Danio rerio: one gene and its partners. The protein of the gene in region 2 interacts with the protein of the main gene of each other region in a biochemical or structural test. Links are inferred from orthologs where the notes say so. Each region holds a gene or a part of one and is shown on either strand. Other genes may lie near its edges. The genes, in order: mapk10, jun, smad3a, prkd1 and runx1.

Region 1 (4,125 bases), on a different chromosome or scaffold from region 2:
AAAGGTACAACATTATGGACGTTTTTGTCATCTCTAATTCGAGCATGCTTGAAAATAATTTGGATTTAATGATTAATATTTCCAGTTTAATAACCATCTGTAATAATGCACACAAGTATGCATATATTTCAGCAAAGATTAAAAGAATCGCATATGCATTCATTTACTATTTAAATGACAAATGTTAAATGATTTGGAGTAATGTAATGTTTTAGAAGCTCAAAATCGAAGCATAAAACATTTGTGCAGTTTGTTGCAAAATGGACTGCACTGAAGAAAAGAGTAAACCAATTAAAGCAAAATAAAATTGACTGAACTGGACAAAGAGTTCCTATATCAAAGACAAATAATGTCAAATAAGAAATTTAAAAAGCCCCTCAGGCTTTCCTTGCCTATTTTTATTTATTTATTTATTTATTTATTTATTTATTTATTTATTTATTTATTTATTTATTCATTCATTCATTCATTCATTCATTCATTCATTTAGTTATTTTTTTGAAGGTGGAAATCTGACATATGTTTCTTTGTTGCTTTAATAATCTGTGCATTTAGTTTAATGCAATGGCACATTGTGACTCTAAAACACATCTCTGTTAAAATGAGCCAATTACTGCAGGCTTTGGCAAAGTCCAAGGTACTGCTGTATGGACGTTGTCAGTTTTTCTAATTCGAGCATGCTCGAAAATAGTTTGGATTAAATGGTTATATTTACAGTATAATAACCATAACATATGAGTATGTTAGCCTACTTTCCATTGATTTATAACTGCTGCATACAATTGAACTCTAATTTTTGTCTTTTTTTCGTGTGTTTCTCTGTTTGTTCATTTATTTAAAAGTGCAATGTGTGCCAGAGCAAAAAAAACTAAAATTTGACCAAAATTAATCGTTTGAGAATATCATACTGTTTAATTCACTCGTTCTGATCTTGCTTTTACAATTTTCACAATTTTAAGCATATCCAGATAACAACACGCTAGATTCGATTTTAGTTATACTTTTTAATAGCCGCCCCCTAAGTCTCCTGTGAGGCGATTCATTCTAACTGATTCTTCGAACGAACCGATCGCTTCAAAAGAATCGCCTCGCTCTGTCTCTCTGCCCGCCTCCAAACACGCAGTCGGCGGTCATGTGCGCAAAGATCCGCCAATCTCCAGATGCGCGATCAGAGCGCCGCTCCTTTCCATCTCCTCCTCACTCCTATGAGACCGCTCTCGTCTTTGACGTCATCGTGTGCTCCCTCCCGTTGCCAGGCAACCCGTCTCCCGCACCCCCCACTCTCTCCTCCTCCTCCTCCCGTTTTGCCATCACTACGCTGGTAGGATCCATAATGGTACAGGCATCATCCTGCAGCACAATGGTGAGCGCGCAGTGATTCAGCATCGCAAACTCAGGCTTTAATCCAGCGTTAGACTTTCTTTTCATCTGTTTGATACAGTGGTTTTTAAAAGATTCGCCTGCCGGGATGTTTTGAACAGGACTGGACTGTCACCGGACCGGGATCATCGGACGGGCAGCTGGCACGGAATGGTAGGTCGGTCGGTCGGTGGGGAGATGTTGATGCGGGAACCTGAAGGGTGGGGTGATGAATATTGATCGAAATGAAGGTTAATGAAGTCGATGCTTTCGCGGCTTAGCCAAATAAATGATCCGTCACGAAGGTCGAACGATGTCCGAAATGGCAGGATTTCTCCGGTGTTTACCAGATCTGAGCGAGTGCGAGCGCACGTCCATCCGTGTTTTTCCTGCATCACTCGCGGTCCTGCATCATCATATGTCCTGTTTTCAGGGACCGCAGGCCTTTGTTAGAATATGGATTGATGGAATCTGGAGTCACAACAATGACGTGATTACGCAAAAGTCGATTCATTTACATGCGTTTCGGATGTTTGATTCCAATATTATATCATGTTGCATTTCAAAAAATGCAGAATTGCTAGTAAAATACTTTATATGGTATATTTTCACAATATGTCTCGCATTTGATGTTTTTAAGATGACTGAAGTGTATAGGTGCTGGAGTCTGAGATGGGCCATATGGTAATTTGTTTATTTATTTATTTAGTTCACGTTGGAAGCCTGAATAACAGGAAGCAGGGTTAAAACACACCTCATTTTGACACAGTTTGATCAAATTTGAAGTTTATTCCCAATTATGGTTGGATAACCACTATTTAGGAACAACAATTAAATATTAAATGCATGAAATGAAACATTAAAACATGTTTAGATGTTTTTAGATGTGTGATGCATGATGGAGCATTTTTTATAATAAATATTTTTGGTTTCCATTTTGAGATATCAAGAAATATTGAGTGAACATCACAGGATGTAATGATTTTTATGCACTCTAGTGCATAATGTTTCATAAGACTGCATGGAATAATAACTTCAAAATTTATTAAAATTCCAAAAGGGCATTTATATAAATGTTTTGATGCAGAAGTGGCTATGTTTGTTTATACATTACATTACATTAATATATTGACTTGAAGTTATTTATATTATGTATTGTGAGCTGAAATAAAATACATTTGCCTTTTTGAAAATTTCGTAAGATACAATATGACATTTTATTCTCAATGAAGCAATATTGGAATTAATAGGATATTAATAATCATATTTATTTTCAATCAATAGTTCTAGCATTTGATGCTTTATGCTGCAATTGATGCATATTTGAGTTCATGCTGGGGTCTAAGATGTTGAATATTTATTTTATCTTATTTTATATTTTTAGGAAGGCTACCATAGAGGTGTAAATCTATTAAAGTGTCATAAAGCAGTAAACATTTTACATATGAAGAGTTTAGATGCAAAAACCTCTAAGTGCCGTCTGAAATTTCCATTGAAAATAAACATTTTTCTCAGCTTCCTTTGTTAATGTTGAGTTAGTTCTCTTCAAAGACCATAAAAGAGAATTATTCTTTGCCATAAAAGTGATACTACTAAACATACACACAGGAGCCTGATAAAAATCATTTTAGAGGAAAATTTCAGACGGCATTTAGAGGTTTTTGCTACTAAACTCTTCATTTTATCAACTGAGTGCTTCACACTATGGAACAATCTTTCCATTTGGTATTTTGGACTATTTCGGTTTCCACTTTATGCGTTATATGTTATGCTTTTTATTAAACTATGTGGAATAATTCAAAAGTGCATGTACTGTACATGTATTTTTACTTTTTTACTCTGTGCCAAATATATATTATATATATATTTTTATATATTTGGTACAGAGTAAAAGTGGCTATGCATTAATTTACTGATTAAATGACAAAAGCAAAATGATTTGGAGCAATGTACTGTTTAATAAGTTTAAAAAAGAAGCATAAAACATTTGTGCAGTTTGTTGCAAAACCGATTGCATTTGTGAGAACAGTAAACTAATTAAAGCAAAAGGAATACACAAAGAGTTCCATTATCAAAGATTCATGTCAGATCTATAAAAAAAGCCACTCAGGCTTTCCTTGCCTATTTTTTAAAGCTGGAAATTTGACATATGCTGAAATATTTCTTGGTGCTTTAATAATCTGTGCTTTTGTTTTAATGCAATGGCACATTGTGGTATCCTCTGTTAAAATGAGCCAATTACTGCAGGCTTTGGCAAAGCGCTATGCATATTCTAAGGGACGGCCATGGACTAATCATCCGTAGCCCCCCCAAAAAACAACCCCATATGGCTAATTAGGCTGTTCCATTGTGTCTGTATATTGTTAAATCCCACAACACTGGGTACCCTGGTTATATTCGCCTCACGCTTCAGTGTCAGAGGTTGCGGCGATCATCTGAACTCTCGTATTCTCCAGGTACGCTGACATTTTGATTAGGATTAAGAGAGTGATTTTGTGAGGGAACTGCTGAAGGACAAAGCCTTGAGAAGCCGGTATTTTGTCTCCATGTGGCTTGAACGGTTCAGCAAACAATTCTTCTCTGTCAATGTTTTTTCAAGGACTTGACTCTTTTACCTCAATAGTTTATTGTAATGAATAGTATCTTGACCAATGTAGTCCACTACATTACTGTTATCTATATTTATTAGCTGGCTTGTTTGCTTAGTAAGTTATTCATATTGGATCAGTATCCTTCTCTCTATTTGCCCAGCCCCATTTAAAATAT
Region 2 (3,613 bases):
ATCTCAACATTACCTGTATATTTATCTTACTAATGTTGTTATAAATACAAATAAACTAGCTATTGTGTCTTTACATACGTTTAAGCAACGTCAGTAAAAATCTCAGAAAGTAAACTGAAACGTCACTTGTCAGCTGTCACGCTATATTCGATCAGTTTGTGGTTGTGGTTGACGCAGTGACGTTTAACAGGGTTGTTTGCACTTTTGAGAGGATCTCTAGGGACTGTCACGGATACGGCGGCTGGACTTTGTGGCACGCTGTCACTCCACAATAAGAAACGCCCCCATTTTTAGACCATTGGCTGACGGAGCAAATGCACTTTGGCATAAAAAAGCAGACTATAGCCCTGTTTCTTCGTGCCAGATTAAATTATGTATGCCTGTATAACACTGAGGTTTTTAAACTAGGGTTCGGGGACCCCCAGGGGGCCAACAAGGGAGTGCTGGAAGTGAAGAAGAGTAAAATTAGCAAATACTAATTAATTCATAATATATTTCAACGACTGATTAAAAAAAAATACTTTTAATCAGCTAATCTAACATTATATTCAAACAAAATGAGTAACATCAAGTTATGCTTATTTAATTTATTATTTCAGAAGGCATTTCTTCTATTTTTTTTTCGTTTTAAATCTCCCTCAACATTTTATTGTAAGGTTGGAAATTAGTTTCACTGACTCCAAACTGTATTTCTAATATATATTTTTTACCTTACTGATGTATATGCAATACATTAAACTGGATCCAGAGAGTGTTTGGAACTTGCTGTTGTTAAAGAATGGCCGCGTCTTGCGAAACTCGCGCAAGAATTGGTCAACTCTCAAACATACAGCGGCACACATTTATTCTGCCTCTTCTTCTCAAACTTATAGTAAAGTTTAAGTTCTAAAAGTGGCGCGTTGTACATTACTCTGCTTCTTTGTATCCCGCCACGGTCTAAAACAGCTAAGCGGGTAACCAGATATTCAAAAACAATACGTAATCCCACAATGCACTGCTTTACAGCATTACCTCATCCCATCAGGCACCGCGAGTAGAATCTTCTGGGTGGTCGTCTAGGCAACGCGCCTTATCTGAAATTGTGACACGCCCAGTAAAACGCCTCCAGCCAATGAGAGGCTGCGCGCATTACATCATTTCTATTTTTAGTGGGGCAGCGGTAGCAGATAAGGTTTGCCTCCACGCTGGAGAAGCTCAGAGTATACAGACCTCGCCACAGTGAAACACCTCACTCAAACCAACATAAATAAGCCTTCGGCTAAGCACTGTTTATCTGCTGGTGTCTGAGAAGCGCGACAGCGGCGGAGGAAGAACTTTCTATCCGCGGAAGGCAGGAGGAGACGAGCCCGTGACACTGGCGATAACTTTACGCAGTAAGTTTCTCGCGGGACGGGGAGTTGAGGAACTTTTCCAATCCTCTCGCTTTTGTTCCAAACACCGCAGCGCTCGTTACTGAACGCGGACAGTGCTTAACAGCGCCTAAAAGACTGCTTCTGAACTAAAAGTTTCGCTTTGCCTTCTATGTCTACCAAGATGGAAACTACTTTCTACGATGACTCTCTAAACAGCGCTTTCTCTCAGCATGACAGCGCCACTTTTGGATACAACCACAAGGCTCTGAAACACAACATGACGCTCAATCTGTCCGACCCCGCGGGGAACCTAAAGCCCCACCTGAGGGCCAAAGCCAGCGATATCCTCACTTCTCCCGACGTGGGACTTCTCAAACTGGCATCACCGGAGCTGGAGAGGCTCATCATCCAGTCTAGCAACGGCATGATCACCACGACGCCAACTCCGACCCAGTTTCTGTGTCCCAAGAACGTGACGGATGAGCAGGAGGGGTTCGCGGAGGGCTTTGTGAGGGCACTGGCTGAGCTGCACCACCAGCACATGCCCAACGTCACCTCGGCTCCCCAAACTACTATCAACAGCAGCATGGCACCGGTCTCGTCCATAGCGGGCGGTGCGGTCTACAGCTCAGCCATGCGCGCTGATCCGCCGGTTTACGCGGATCTGAACACGTTCAACCCTGCTATCAGCAGCAGCTCGGCCAATCCAGCCGCGATGAGCTTCCCGAGCGCACCACCGCAGCTGCCCGTCCAGCACCCGCGCCTCCAGGCCCTGAAAGAGGAGCCCCAAACGGTGCCCGAGATGCCCGGCGAGACCCCACCGCTCTCTCCTATCGACATGGAGAGCCAGGAGCGGATTAAAGCCGAGAGGAAGCGCATGAGAAACAGAATCGCCGCGTCCAAATGCCGGAAGAGGAAACTGGAGAGGATCTCCCGGCTGGAGGACAAAGTCAAGACCCTGAAGTCGCAAAACTCGGAGCTCGCGTCCACCGCCAACATGCTGCGCGAGCAAGTGGCACAGCTCAAGCAGAAAGTCATGAACCACGTCAACAGCGGCTGCCAGCTCATGTTGACACAACAGCTGCAAACCTTCTGAGGAGAGCCGAAGGACATTTTGAGTTCAGCCACATAAACAAACTTCAGGGGCTTGATGTCTGCGATCTGGCGCGACAGAGCCCGCGGGGACCGGGACCGTCCGGCCGGCCGCGTGCCGTTAAAGGATGATCCGACTGGACTTTTGAGGAGCGCAAAACTTCACTCGGTCCGACAGAGACGCAGAGCGCATGAGACTCACTCTGTTACATGTTTTACTTTCTGACGAAATCCTTGTTCACATCGACCAGGTTGTGCATGGACCTATACGCTTCAAAGGAGCACTCAGTATTATAGGAGTAAAACAGAGACGCGACTGCCGTACAGTAGGGATACTGGCTCACCAAGCAGGACGTTGTGTCTGCTAAACTTTTGATAAAAAAGCTGCCTGACTTCTGAGCTACATATTGTACTTTTTTTGTTGTTCTTAAATTGAACGGAAATCGACTTTTTTCCTTTTGAGTTAGTCCAACTTAAGCAGTTTCTTTTTCTAAAAAAAAAGTTCATTAATGAGGTTTCACTCATTGTTATTTGTAAATATGATCAACCAGGAGTACTTAAGTTTACCATTTGTAAGTAAAGTACAATAATTTTTTATGTTTGTTTTCTGAGCACCTCAGAAACTAATCAATATTTATGAACTGTAATAAAGTATGTCAAATGAAAAACAATGTCTCTGTTGTCTTAATGGAAATGACGCTTGTGTGTGTATGTGTGTGTGTGTTCAAATTGACAAACATGTAATAACATGTTTTGGAAGAGACTGGCTGTTTTGTAAAGTCCACAGACAGGACTGGGAAAAAAGGGTGTCAAAAAACATCCTTACAGTAATTAAAAATAATAACATTATAAATACATGCTTAATTGCTAAAGGTTAAATGCAAACTTAATATAACATTTTTACATCAAAATAAAGCAGACACATAATTTGATTGACTCTTTAAATCAGTAATGCTGAAATTATCAAGTAATTATCACACAGTCAAGTACTAAATAGACCAATGCCTTTAATCATGGCCTCATTTTTGTGTCAACTGAAACAAAAGTTTATTAAGGTTAGTGTTAGCCTGCAAATATGTTAAAAAAAATTGTAGAAGTTGAAGATGTATACAAGTTTTAACAATTTAACCAGCAACAATGACTTAATATTAAATTAATAAATGGTTGAA
Region 3 (3,003 bases), on a different chromosome or scaffold from region 2:
GTGTCCCCTTCACTTTTACTGGGGCATTAGGACGTCCCCTGCTGGCCTCTCTAATACCACTTTCAACAGCAACCTAGTTTTTCCTATGTGGTCTCCCATGCAGGTACTGACCTGGCACAGGTCTGCTTAGCTTCAGTGAGTAACCGGTCTTAGGCTGCATGGTGATATGGCTGTGGCAATAATAATAATAATAATAATAATAGGCAACGCGGTGGCACAAAGGGTAGCGCTGTCACCTCACAGCATGAAGGTCACAGGTTCGAACCCCGGCTGTGTGGAGTTTGTATGTTCTCCCCGTGTTTGCGTGGGTTTCCTCCGGGTGCTCCGGTTTCCCACACAGTCCAAAGACATGTGGTACAAGTGAATTGGGTAGGCTAAAAATTGTTCACAGTGAATAAGCGTGTATGGATGTTTCCCAGTGATAGTTTACAGCTGGAAGGGCATCCGCTGTGTAAAACATATGCTGGATAAGTTGGTGGTTCATTCCACTGTGGGGACCCCAAATTAATAAAGGGACTAAGTCGAAAAGAAAATGAATGAATGAATAATAATAATACATTTAAACTAAGTGGTTAACTCAGGTGCTGGTTTTTGGTCTTATTTATTTGTTTTGTAAATTTGCATTGATCTTATTGACATGAAATGTTGTGACTTTTCCTACACTTGCTTCATACTTAAGTGCTTATAACTTAAATTGGCAAATGTGCTTATCATTGGATGCTGGATAAGTTGGCGGTTCATTGCACTGTGGCGACCCCGGAATAATAAAAGGACTAAGATGAAAAGAAAATGAATGAATGAATGAAATACTTGAGCCATAACTTTAATTTACTGCAAAACTGATGCCTGTCACAGTCATATTTTCTCTTATAATGTTAATTATGTAATGATTTATATAAACAAATTCAAGCAGCAAGAAATACATTTCATTTTTTGGAGCTTGCCTTTACAAGCATTCAAGCCAGCCCCTTTCCACTTCATTTGGCCTAAATAAAATCATATACCTTTCAGATTTTATTAAGTTAGGCTGTCTGTAGATGATTAGATTACACTGATCTGATGCAGTACATATATTTGAATATGGCTAAGTGTATTCATAGTTTTGCACATTGTGTCGGCATTCTGATTTCTAATTATTTCTCTCTCTCTTTAATGGCGTCAGGCGGCAGACAGTGACTAGCACCCCCTGCTGGATAGAGCTGCACCTTAACGGGCCTCTGCAGTGGCTGGACAAAGTACTCACTCAGATGGGCTCCCCCTCCATCCGCTGCTCCAGTGTGTCATAGGAAGAAAAAAAGACTGCACAAACTCAACATATACAAACCACCAGATCTGGAAAAAGTTCCTTCAGGACTCAAAGGCTGGAGATTACAGACTCGGTAGCACTTTCACATGTGTTTGTTTCAATGTTGGAGACATTGTATTATTACAGTATATGTACAGTACATACTTGTTTTTTTATGTTATTGTTAGCCATTTTTATTGCCATGAAATATTGCCATTTATGATATATTTTGTTATATAGCATGTCTATGTGAGATATCTCTTCTCTGTCATGTCTTTTCTGATGCTGTTATGTTAGAATTACCATAACAGAGGCTTATTTTTTTAGAGGCGTGATAAAAAGTGCTTTTTTTGTAAAGTGTAGATATGTCGTTTTTACAAATTTCGGTTAAATCAAAACAACACAAATCTGGCCCAATGTATAATGTTGTCTAATACATATCAAGAGTTTGACATTCTTTAGTTAGGGATGGTTTACATAAAATGAACATTTTAAATCAAGTGAACATTTACTCAAACTCAAGTGGTTCCAAATTTTAATGGATTTCTTCTGTTGAACACAAAAGATATTCTAAGAAATGATGGGGGAAAAGTAGCCCTCATTCATTGTACAAATAAAAAAAACTATAAAAATCAACAGCCGTTGTATCCCCTGCATTTATCTCTCTTTGTGTTTAACAGATTTAAGAAACTCAAACAAGTTTGGAACAAATGTAGAATGAGTAAACGATGACAGAAGTTTCATTTTTGGGTGAACTGTTTTAAGAAAGAAAGAAGAAAAAGAAAGAAACTCTTTGACTCATTTTTCTTTTTTTTTTTTAGAATTCTACTCAAACATTGAATCCCCAAATTAATATCTGATACATATCAAGAGTTTGACATTCTTCTTGACGGGATACTTTACATAAAAATGAAAATTTTCAAATAATTTACTCACACTCAAGTGGTTCTAAACCTTTATGAATTTTGTCTTCTGTTGAAAACAAGATATTCTGAAGAATTTTGGTGGAAAATCAGCCCTTGACATTGACTGTACAAACAAAAAATACTATAAAAGTGAAGAGCTGTTTCGTTCCTACATTCTTCAGTATATCTTCTCGTGCGTTTAGCAGAAGCAAGAAACTCAAACAAGTTTGTAACAATGAGTGGATAATGAGTAAGCGATGACAGAAGTTTCATTTTTTGTCCCTTTAAAAAAGAAAGAAAGAAAGAAAGAAAGACTTTGAGTCCTTTTTCTTTATTTTAAGAATTCTGTTCAAACATTGAATCCCTAAATTAATGTTGAATACACATTAAAAGTTTGAGATGTTCTTCTTGAAGGGAAAATTTGCATAAAAAAACGTTTAAAAAAAAAACGTTTTTACCTCTTTACTCACATTTGAGTGGTTTCAAACTTTTATAAATGGTTTCTTCTGTTGAACACAAAACAAGATATTCTGAAGAATGTTGGGGAAAATAGCGCTTTACATCCACTGTACAAACAAAAAATACTATAAAAGTCAAGAGCTGTTTTTCCGTACATTCTTCAGTATATCTTCTTCTGGTGTTTACCAGAAGAAAGAAACTCAAACAAGTTTGGAACAAGTGGAGAATGAGTAAACGATGATAGAAGTTTCATTTTGAGTGAACTGTCCCTTTAAAAGAAAGAAAGAAAAAATAAAGAAAGAAGGAAAGACAGTCTTTGACTTCTTTCTCTTGTTTTATAATTCTGTTCAAACG
Region 4 (3,519 bases), on a different chromosome or scaffold from region 2:
CAAGCCAAGTGCTTAAAATTAAAATTGAATGAATTGGGCAATAACACAATCGAGATAATCATTCTGTGATAATAACAGCTGTTTGTGCACTTCTTGGTGAACTACCGTTGTGTGTAGTAAATGCTGCATGTGAGAATACCATATTTTAAAACATCTTTTACTCCCAACTTACTTCACTCTAAAACATGCTGGGTTTCACACAGTTAGTGTTCCGACAACATAAAGGAATTAAGTTAACATATCACTTTTTACAAATTCATGTGGATTGAACATAAAACAATTAAGTTGTCACAAAAATTTTTAAATACGTTGTTTGAACAAACAGCAAATGTAATTATTTCGAGTGTTCAGTGATTTCACTAAATTCAGTAGATTGTTTGAAATAAATCCTTCTGTGAGACGAGTTCATTCATGTGATTATTAGTCACTGAATTAATGAAAGCAGCTAAAATTTCTTTTAATTATGCAAAGCTATGGGGATTGCCTGGGTTTCTTCATGTTTGGAGTTTCTGCACAAAAGCGCCCTCTGGCCTTTGGAGGAAATTTACTACTAAACACAATCATGCTTTTCTAACAAGGTGTTCATGACAATCACATTTATGATTAATTGCATTTTCAATTAATCATACCTTTAACACTGCAAGAGTGTTGCTAAAGAGGGTTGCACACTGGATGCGCTGCTCAGCGCTGCAACACGGCACGCACATGACTGTTAAAAGCATCGCACACCAGACGTGCACATTGGCATGTTATTAAAATGAACGTTGCAGAAATATGAACAGTGTCCTGAGTCATCATAGCTGGGCACCATGGACAGCCATTGACTTGCGACTTTGTTTAGAATTCTAAAATGCATGGCGCTGTGTGGTGCGTTGCGTCGTCGATTGGCACATCCAGTGTGTTTTATAACCCTAGCTAAACACAGTGCTAATTTTACCTTTAAAATACTTAGCCGAGATTAAAGGCAGTGTTTAAAATGACAATGATTTGTGACTAAGAACAGTTTGAGGTGTTTTTTCAGAATATTTTCTTGAGGTCTGGATTGACACAAGGGTAAATACATAATGAAAAAGCTAATCTCCAAATTTATTGGTGCTTGTGCAACATAGAAGATCTCATTCTCCCCAAAACTCACCCTCTGGGGTCACTGTTTTCCACGGGTTGGGTGGGTACATGAAGGCAGCATTCTGGATCTGGTCGTGAATGTCTTCATCCTCATTGAAGGGGAAGGTTCCACTGAGACTGACATAGATGATGACACCCACCGACCACATGTCCAGCGAGCGGTTGTAACCCTTGTTCCTCAGCACCTCAGGGGCGAGATACGCCGGAGTGCCAACCACCGAACGCCTAAAAGACTTCTCTCCGATAATACGTGCAAAGCCGAAATCGCAGAGCTTAACCTGCAAGACAAATCAGCGAATAATGAGCTTTCCAATAAGCAGACGACAAGAAGAACTGGCTATTTCACTCGACTAGGACCGAGATGCACAAAAGAGCCCCCCCCCCCCCCCCCCCAAAATAACATCCCTTTGTTCTCGCGCTAGCTTTTTAACACCACAGACGCCGTAATGATCAGTTGTCACGGACTGAAGGAAAGTCAAGTGAAATTATCACCCAGTTGGATGTGGTTACAATGTATCTCCTGCTGATCTCCACTTTCCACCTTTAAAAGATTCTCTTAAGCACAGCAACAAGCACCTGAGGACCGAGCTCAGACGCTGACAGCTCGGGTTCTGCAAAATATTTGTAAATGACACGCGGTGATTTGTTTAGTATTCTTCCGAAATGTTTGCCCGCGCTCAAACAGTGAGTCATCCTTCTGCTTGAGAGCTTCCAGAGACGAGCTTGTGCGGCAGACAGAAGAAACAATGGGAGGATAATTTAGAAATCTTTCATTAGAATGTAGAGACACACACAACCCTGTGCCTCGAACACACCATGAGAACGCTATAATTACCATCTTTTATTCGCACGCATTTACAAAAACAGATCCATTTATGTTAATTTCGGTGTGGCCTCACTTCATTCAGATATTTCCTTTCTTTTGTTGTCGCTTCTATCTCTGCTCGGGTTTTACTCACTTGTGGAAAGGAGTCAGCGGAGGCTAACAAAACATTCTCGGGTTTGAGGTCACAGTGAACAATGTTTTTGAAGTGAAGGTGCCGGAGAGCGACCAGAATCTGGGAGAGGAGCAGAACAATGTTGTTATTACAATGCGGAATAAAACATAGGAGATGGTAAATAAAAGAATGCAAAAGCAAAAGGTCCAGCTTTACGCTTGATTCTGGCTTTAAATGTTTATATGAGTGATTCCTGCGCAGATATGTACCTGCGATACAAGGAACTTGGTGATGCGCTCTGGAAGCCTCCCCTTCTCACTTGACAGGATCATCTCCAGCATGTCGCCATGGAGCTTTTCCATGACAACAAAGACACGCTCGGGTGTCTCAAACATGCACTCCAGGTTCACAATGCCAGGATGATGGAGGTTCTGCACAAAACAGATGTAGTATACGTCACATATATACAGTACATTTCATTAAACTGTATAGTAATATTGCCATTTAATCTGATGCCATTTTTAATCTGTGGCTAATTATTATAAATAGACGAATTGATACATCAGTCAAATTAATAATATAAATGATCTGATATATCAACATCAACTTTCTGAAATAGCAACATCGACCTTTTTTCCACATTAATCATTTTTATTATTATATAAAATAAGTATATGTTTTGTTGTTGCAAGATACCCAATTGAATGAGTTCAATTACATGCTCACATTATATTTTAGATTGCATTTATTAGTAAAATAAAAATGTAACTGGTTGTGTGAATGTTCATTCATATTAAAATAGGCATATAATATTATATTGTCAGTCTATTAATTGAAAGAGCCTGAATCTAATTTATCTTCAATGCAAATATTTAATTACTGGTTAAGAGAATCACTATCAATGTGTCTGATTTACACTTCTGGGATTTAATATGAAAAAAAAAAAAAAAAAAAAAAAAAAAAAAAATATATATATATATATATATATATATATATATATATATATATATATATATATATATATATATATATGCGTGTCAAAAAGTGAATATGTTTCATTGGTATTTAGTGTAACATTTATATTAAAATATAAAAAAAAAAAAATCAAACAACATACTTATTCTGACCTGTATTTATAATATTATAAGTACAGTTGAAGTCAGAATTATTAGCCCCATTTGTTCCCCCAATTTCTGAAGGTTTATTTGACCGTTTAATTTGAGAAGATTTTTTCAACACATTTTTAAACATAATATTTTTAGTAACTCATTTTTAATAACTAATTTATTTTATCTTTGCTATGATGACAGTAAATAATATTTGACTAGATATTTTTCAAGACACTTCTATACAGCTTAATGTGACGTTTAAAGGCTTAACTAGGTTAATTAGGTTGACTAGGCAGGTTAGGGTAATTAGGCAAGTTATTGTATAATGATGGTTTGTTCTGTAGACT
Region 5 (4,099 bases), on a different chromosome or scaffold from region 2:
TTTATTTATTTTATTTATTAATATTATAATTTATTATTTTTATTTATTATTCCATTAGACAAATTTCTATTTAATTAATTTATTTATTTTGATTTCTTGGAACTTGATATTGTGTCAACTTTTTTGTTTATGATCGTCACTGTTATAATATTTTCATAGTTTTCTGGTAGTTTTATTATTATCTTATTTTATTAATAATATGTGTATATATATATATTAGTTTACTGAACTGTGGTTTGAATGATCAGCATTGCGTCAGTGAGACGAACAGGCTGGCGTTTTGAAGCTTTTCTGCTTGTTCTGCTGATATCATGTTCCTTCTGATAAAAAAATACAAAACAAAATCTGCTGGTACAAAACAATCAGCTATTAGCAAACACAATCCTGCACACTGTTTCCAAACATGTTTATATGATAATACTTTAAATATACACAAATTGAATAAAGATGATAAACATAAATAATTAATAATGATTATACTTTAAGAATATTTGGTGTATTTACTTTATTTCTGAAAGGTTTGGCCGTAAATTAAACAGTGACTGAAGAAATCTAGAAGGAATACAGCTGTTCATCAACATCAGCAAACCTTAATTTTAGTGACACTTTACTATAATAATTATTATTTTTACATTACTGTGAGGGTTAGAGTAGAGGTAGACATTATTAATTAAAAAATAATTGGTAATTTAATATATAATATAAATAATTCTCTGTATAATTATGTTTTTACATTACTGTTAGGGTTGGGGAAGAGGTAGACATTAATAAAATACAATTTAATGGGTAATTTGATGAAAAACACCAATAATACTCTGTTTAATTACTGGTTTACATTACTGTGATGGCTGGGGTTGGTGAAGACGTTAATAAAATACTTTTAAATTATATTTTAATAAATAATAGGAATATTACTTTGTAATAATCACTGTTTTTACATTACTGAGCTGGTTTGGACGTTAATAAAATGCAATTTAATGGGTAATTTAATAATAATACTCGGTATAATTGCTGGTTTTACATTACTGGGATGGCTGAGTTCATTTATTCGATAAATAATTCCCGTTTACTTCAAGCCGCAGCTGTATCCCTTCTAGCAACAACCACGCGCGAGGAATTCCATTGACTGCTTAGACCCATTTCTCCCCCCCAATTCGGTCTGACCTCTGATTGGTCGAGCCCATCGAGGTCTGTCATCGCTATCCAATGATAGCGCTCCAGGGGTTTGGCGTATGCAAATTGGCTGTCCTGGCTGGCGTTCCTGCGCTGCCCATTGCCAGTAAAAGCGCGTCGCTGCCGGAGATTCATTCACAGCGCATCATCTGATCCAGGAACAGCACTTTCTCTCACTGGTCCTTCTTTTTTAGTTTTTTTAACCCAGCTAGTACTTTTGTAGTCAGTTAAAGAAAGCGAAAGTGTTTGCGTCAGGTGCGCGCTCTAACTTTCTAAAGGATACGCGCGTGGCCGATGATGATTTCTGCTGAAAGAGGAACAGCATCTGCGTAAAAACTGATCTGAGTTCAGCCCACTTCACACCGAACAGCAGGGTTGTTAAGAGCTGTGGATCCCCATCCCGAAACTCACGGAGACAAAAACATACCAAATGGTTTTTCTTTGGGACGCCAAATACGGTAAGAGCGCTTCTCAGATCGGGACAGTCACTCGCGCGTTCACGGGGCTATTTTTACGCGTCATGTTTCATCACGTCTGAATGTTTATTACAGTTACTAATCACGAAAACCTGTAACCTCAACCCTAATAATGCGACGTCAAAAGCTGAAATCAGTTCTGTTTGCGTATGATTAAACTGCAGAAATAATTAAACCTGTAACCTCTACCTTTATATTGATGGTAATGTGACATTCATGTTCATCAAAAAACTGTTTACGTAAAAAAGTCAGTTTAAGTTTAGTATTGTTTGCTTATTATTGAACTGTGTAGAGAATAAAACCTGTAACCTCAACCTTATTAATGATGCCATGATTTGTACATTAAAAAGTGTAGTTCTGTTTGCCTGTTATTGAACTGCACAGAAAATGCCAGAATATGAAATGCAAATTGATCAAGAAAGTAGTTCAAAAATAGTATTGCAGTAAAATTGGAAATGAGGAAATTGAATTAATAAATGCATTAACTAACTAAAAAGAGTAATACAATGGAAACTGATGGAGAGATATAATGTGTTATTCAGAAAATGCAGATTAATGAAAACTACAAAATAAAATAATGAAAGTACAAAAAAGTATATTATTTTATTATTTTTTTATGTAGGTATATATTTTCCATGATAAACTTAATCAAATTCCTGAAATTAAAGTGATTTTTTATTACTGTTGGTGAGTTTTTTATATATATCTACAAACCCTAAAAGACCTCAAGAATAACTAAAAACTAAACTAAAAATACCAAAATAATCTCAAACTGTCTTAAAATTTGAGGGGAAAAAAAGAAATATATATATATATAATGTGTATAATATAAACATCTGATATTTAATTATATTTTTTTAAGAATTTTGGTCAGTGTGGATGGTGTAAACAAAATGCCTTGTCACGACAAAAGAAAACCATGAAAAAGAACTGGGATGAAAGATGATATTTTCATCAATTTTATTTATTTATTTATTTTCGTAAATACAATAGGCTATTACATTTCAACCTTTTTATAGAAACTGGTTTTATTCGGGTCAAAAGAACATTCTGTAATGCAAATATTATATTACATGTGAAGTAGTTTGTACATTAAATAAACACGTAGCTGAAGTGATTATTAGTAAGACACTTAAAATAAAACATCAGATTTTGGGACAGATGTGTGTGTGTTTATTTATATATATATATATATATATATATATATATATATATATATATATATATATATATATATATATGTTGTGTATGTATATATATATATATATATATATATATATATATATATATATATATATATATATAATTTAAAGTGGTATGTATATTTAATATTTAATAATTATCTGTTTTTTCTATTTCTTGCAGCTTGAACTTATGTCAACTGTTTTGTTAATTAACATTATTCTTATTTTTTATATAAGCTATTTTTTTATTTTATTATTCAAGTCTTTGTGCACTCAATTGAGTCTGCCGTTTGTTCAGACTACTTATTTAAAATGAGTTAAAGCAACACAATTCTTGATTTTTTTTGTTTTGGGGGGGGGGGGGGTAATTATTTTGTTTATTCCACTTAAATTTGTAAAAAAAAAAAAAAAATGTAAAAAATATACACTAAATATATAGGGTAATAATAAAAATGCCAGAAAAATAACAAAATGATGATAATGATAATGTCAATAAACAAAAAAGTTGGCAAGATCAAGTTCCAAGAAATGAAATTAAATAAATAAGTAAATAAATTCAATTAAAAAATTAGCTTAGGAAATTTTTGGTCAATATATAATAATAATAATAATGTCAATAAACAAAAAAAAGCTGAGTCAATGTATTAAAAAAAAACAAATTAAATAAAAAATTAATTAACTTAATAGAGCAAATTGAATTATTTGTGTTGAACCCACCATTTATTTACAATGTGTTCTCCTAAAATAGTGATTTTTAGTGTAAATGTTTTTAATATTAGACAATTTAGCAGACATTCACTTGTAGATACACTTTTTTATTTACAATCATAAACCTTTTGGCAATTAGACATTTAAACAAGAGAGAAAAACAACCAACAGTCATACAAATAATAATTAAACAAAAGGATTTTCTCCAGCCACACCTGAAAAGAGTGATTATTATAGTTGTGATATTTCTGTTGCTCCTGAATTTCTGCAAATGCACGTCTGCCGCTTTTCCACACCTCATCTCTCTCACACCAACCAGCCATCAACAAACTCCAGTTTTAGCCTGATGTAGTGGTTGTGTTTATATTGGGCTGTGTGTTTGGAGGGAGCGCAGGTTTTGGAGACGGGTTTTAACCGCACTCATGTGGCATCGATTGTGGTTGGCCGAATAACCGCGGGCCGCTGCGATGTCTGACGCTCCTTTTGCCTGTTTTTTTCTCTGCACGGAAGTCCTCCACCGTGGTAACAGCAGTGTTAAACTATCCTTTAAAAAGCAGT

What was found.
Region 1: of the proteins of jun (region 2) and mapk10, one has a biochemical effect on the other in vitro, tested with the Homo sapiens proteins (7 studies listed by BioGRID and IntAct, with this or other methods). The link is inferred for Danio rerio from reciprocal best matches to the Homo sapiens genes JUN and MAPK10.
Region 3: the proteins of jun (region 2) and smad3a form a complex in vitro, tested with the Homo sapiens proteins (3 studies listed by BioGRID). The link is inferred for Danio rerio from reciprocal best matches to the Homo sapiens genes JUN and SMAD3.
Region 4: of the proteins of jun (region 2) and prkd1, one has a biochemical effect on the other in vitro, tested with the Homo sapiens proteins (2 studies listed by BioGRID). The link is inferred for Danio rerio from reciprocal best matches to the Homo sapiens genes JUN and PRKD1.
Region 5: the proteins of jun (region 2) and runx1 form a complex in vitro, tested with the Homo sapiens proteins (2 studies listed by BioGRID). The link is inferred for Danio rerio from reciprocal best matches to the Homo sapiens genes JUN and RUNX1.

What each region holds. Positions count from the first base shown.
Region 1 is NC_133196.1:10,935,854-10,939,978, forward strand, and holds the start of mapk10 (mitogen-activated protein kinase 10), read left to right. Parts: upstream 1-1,320; 5' UTR 1,321-1,530; coding exon of another isoform or gene 1,531-1,533; intron 1,534-4,125. UniProt on the Homo sapiens protein: Serine/threonine-protein kinase involved in various processes such as neuronal proliferation, differentiation, migration and programmed cell death.
Region 2 is NC_133195.1:16,778,623-16,782,235, forward strand, and holds jun (transcription factor Jun), read left to right. Parts: upstream 1-1,252; 5' UTR 1,253-1,521; coding exon 1,522-2,448; 3' UTR 2,449-3,112; downstream 3,113-3,613. UniProt on the Homo sapiens protein: Transcription factor that recognizes and binds to the AP-1 consensus motif 5'-TGA[GC]TCA-3'.
Region 3 is NC_133182.1:34,183,121-34,186,123, reverse strand, and holds the end of smad3a (mothers against decapentaplegic homolog 3a), read left to right. Parts: intron 1-1,162; coding exon 1,163-1,286; 3' UTR 1,287-2,498; downstream 2,499-3,003. UniProt on the Homo sapiens protein: Receptor-regulated SMAD (R-SMAD) that is an intracellular signal transducer and transcriptional modulator activated by TGF-beta (transforming growth factor) and activin type 1 receptor kinases.
Region 4 is NC_133192.1:30,457,351-30,460,869, reverse strand, and holds part of prkd1 (serine/threonine-protein kinase D1), read right to left. Parts: intron 2,495-3,519; coding exon 2,333-2,494; intron 2,184-2,332; coding exon 2,085-2,183; intron 1,404-2,084; coding exon 1,136-1,403; intron 1-1,135.
Region 5 is NC_133176.1:2,084,036-2,088,134, reverse strand, and holds the start of runx1 (runt-related transcription factor 1), read left to right. Parts: upstream 1-1,294; 5' UTR 1,295-1,603; coding exon 1,604-1,631; intron 1,632-4,099.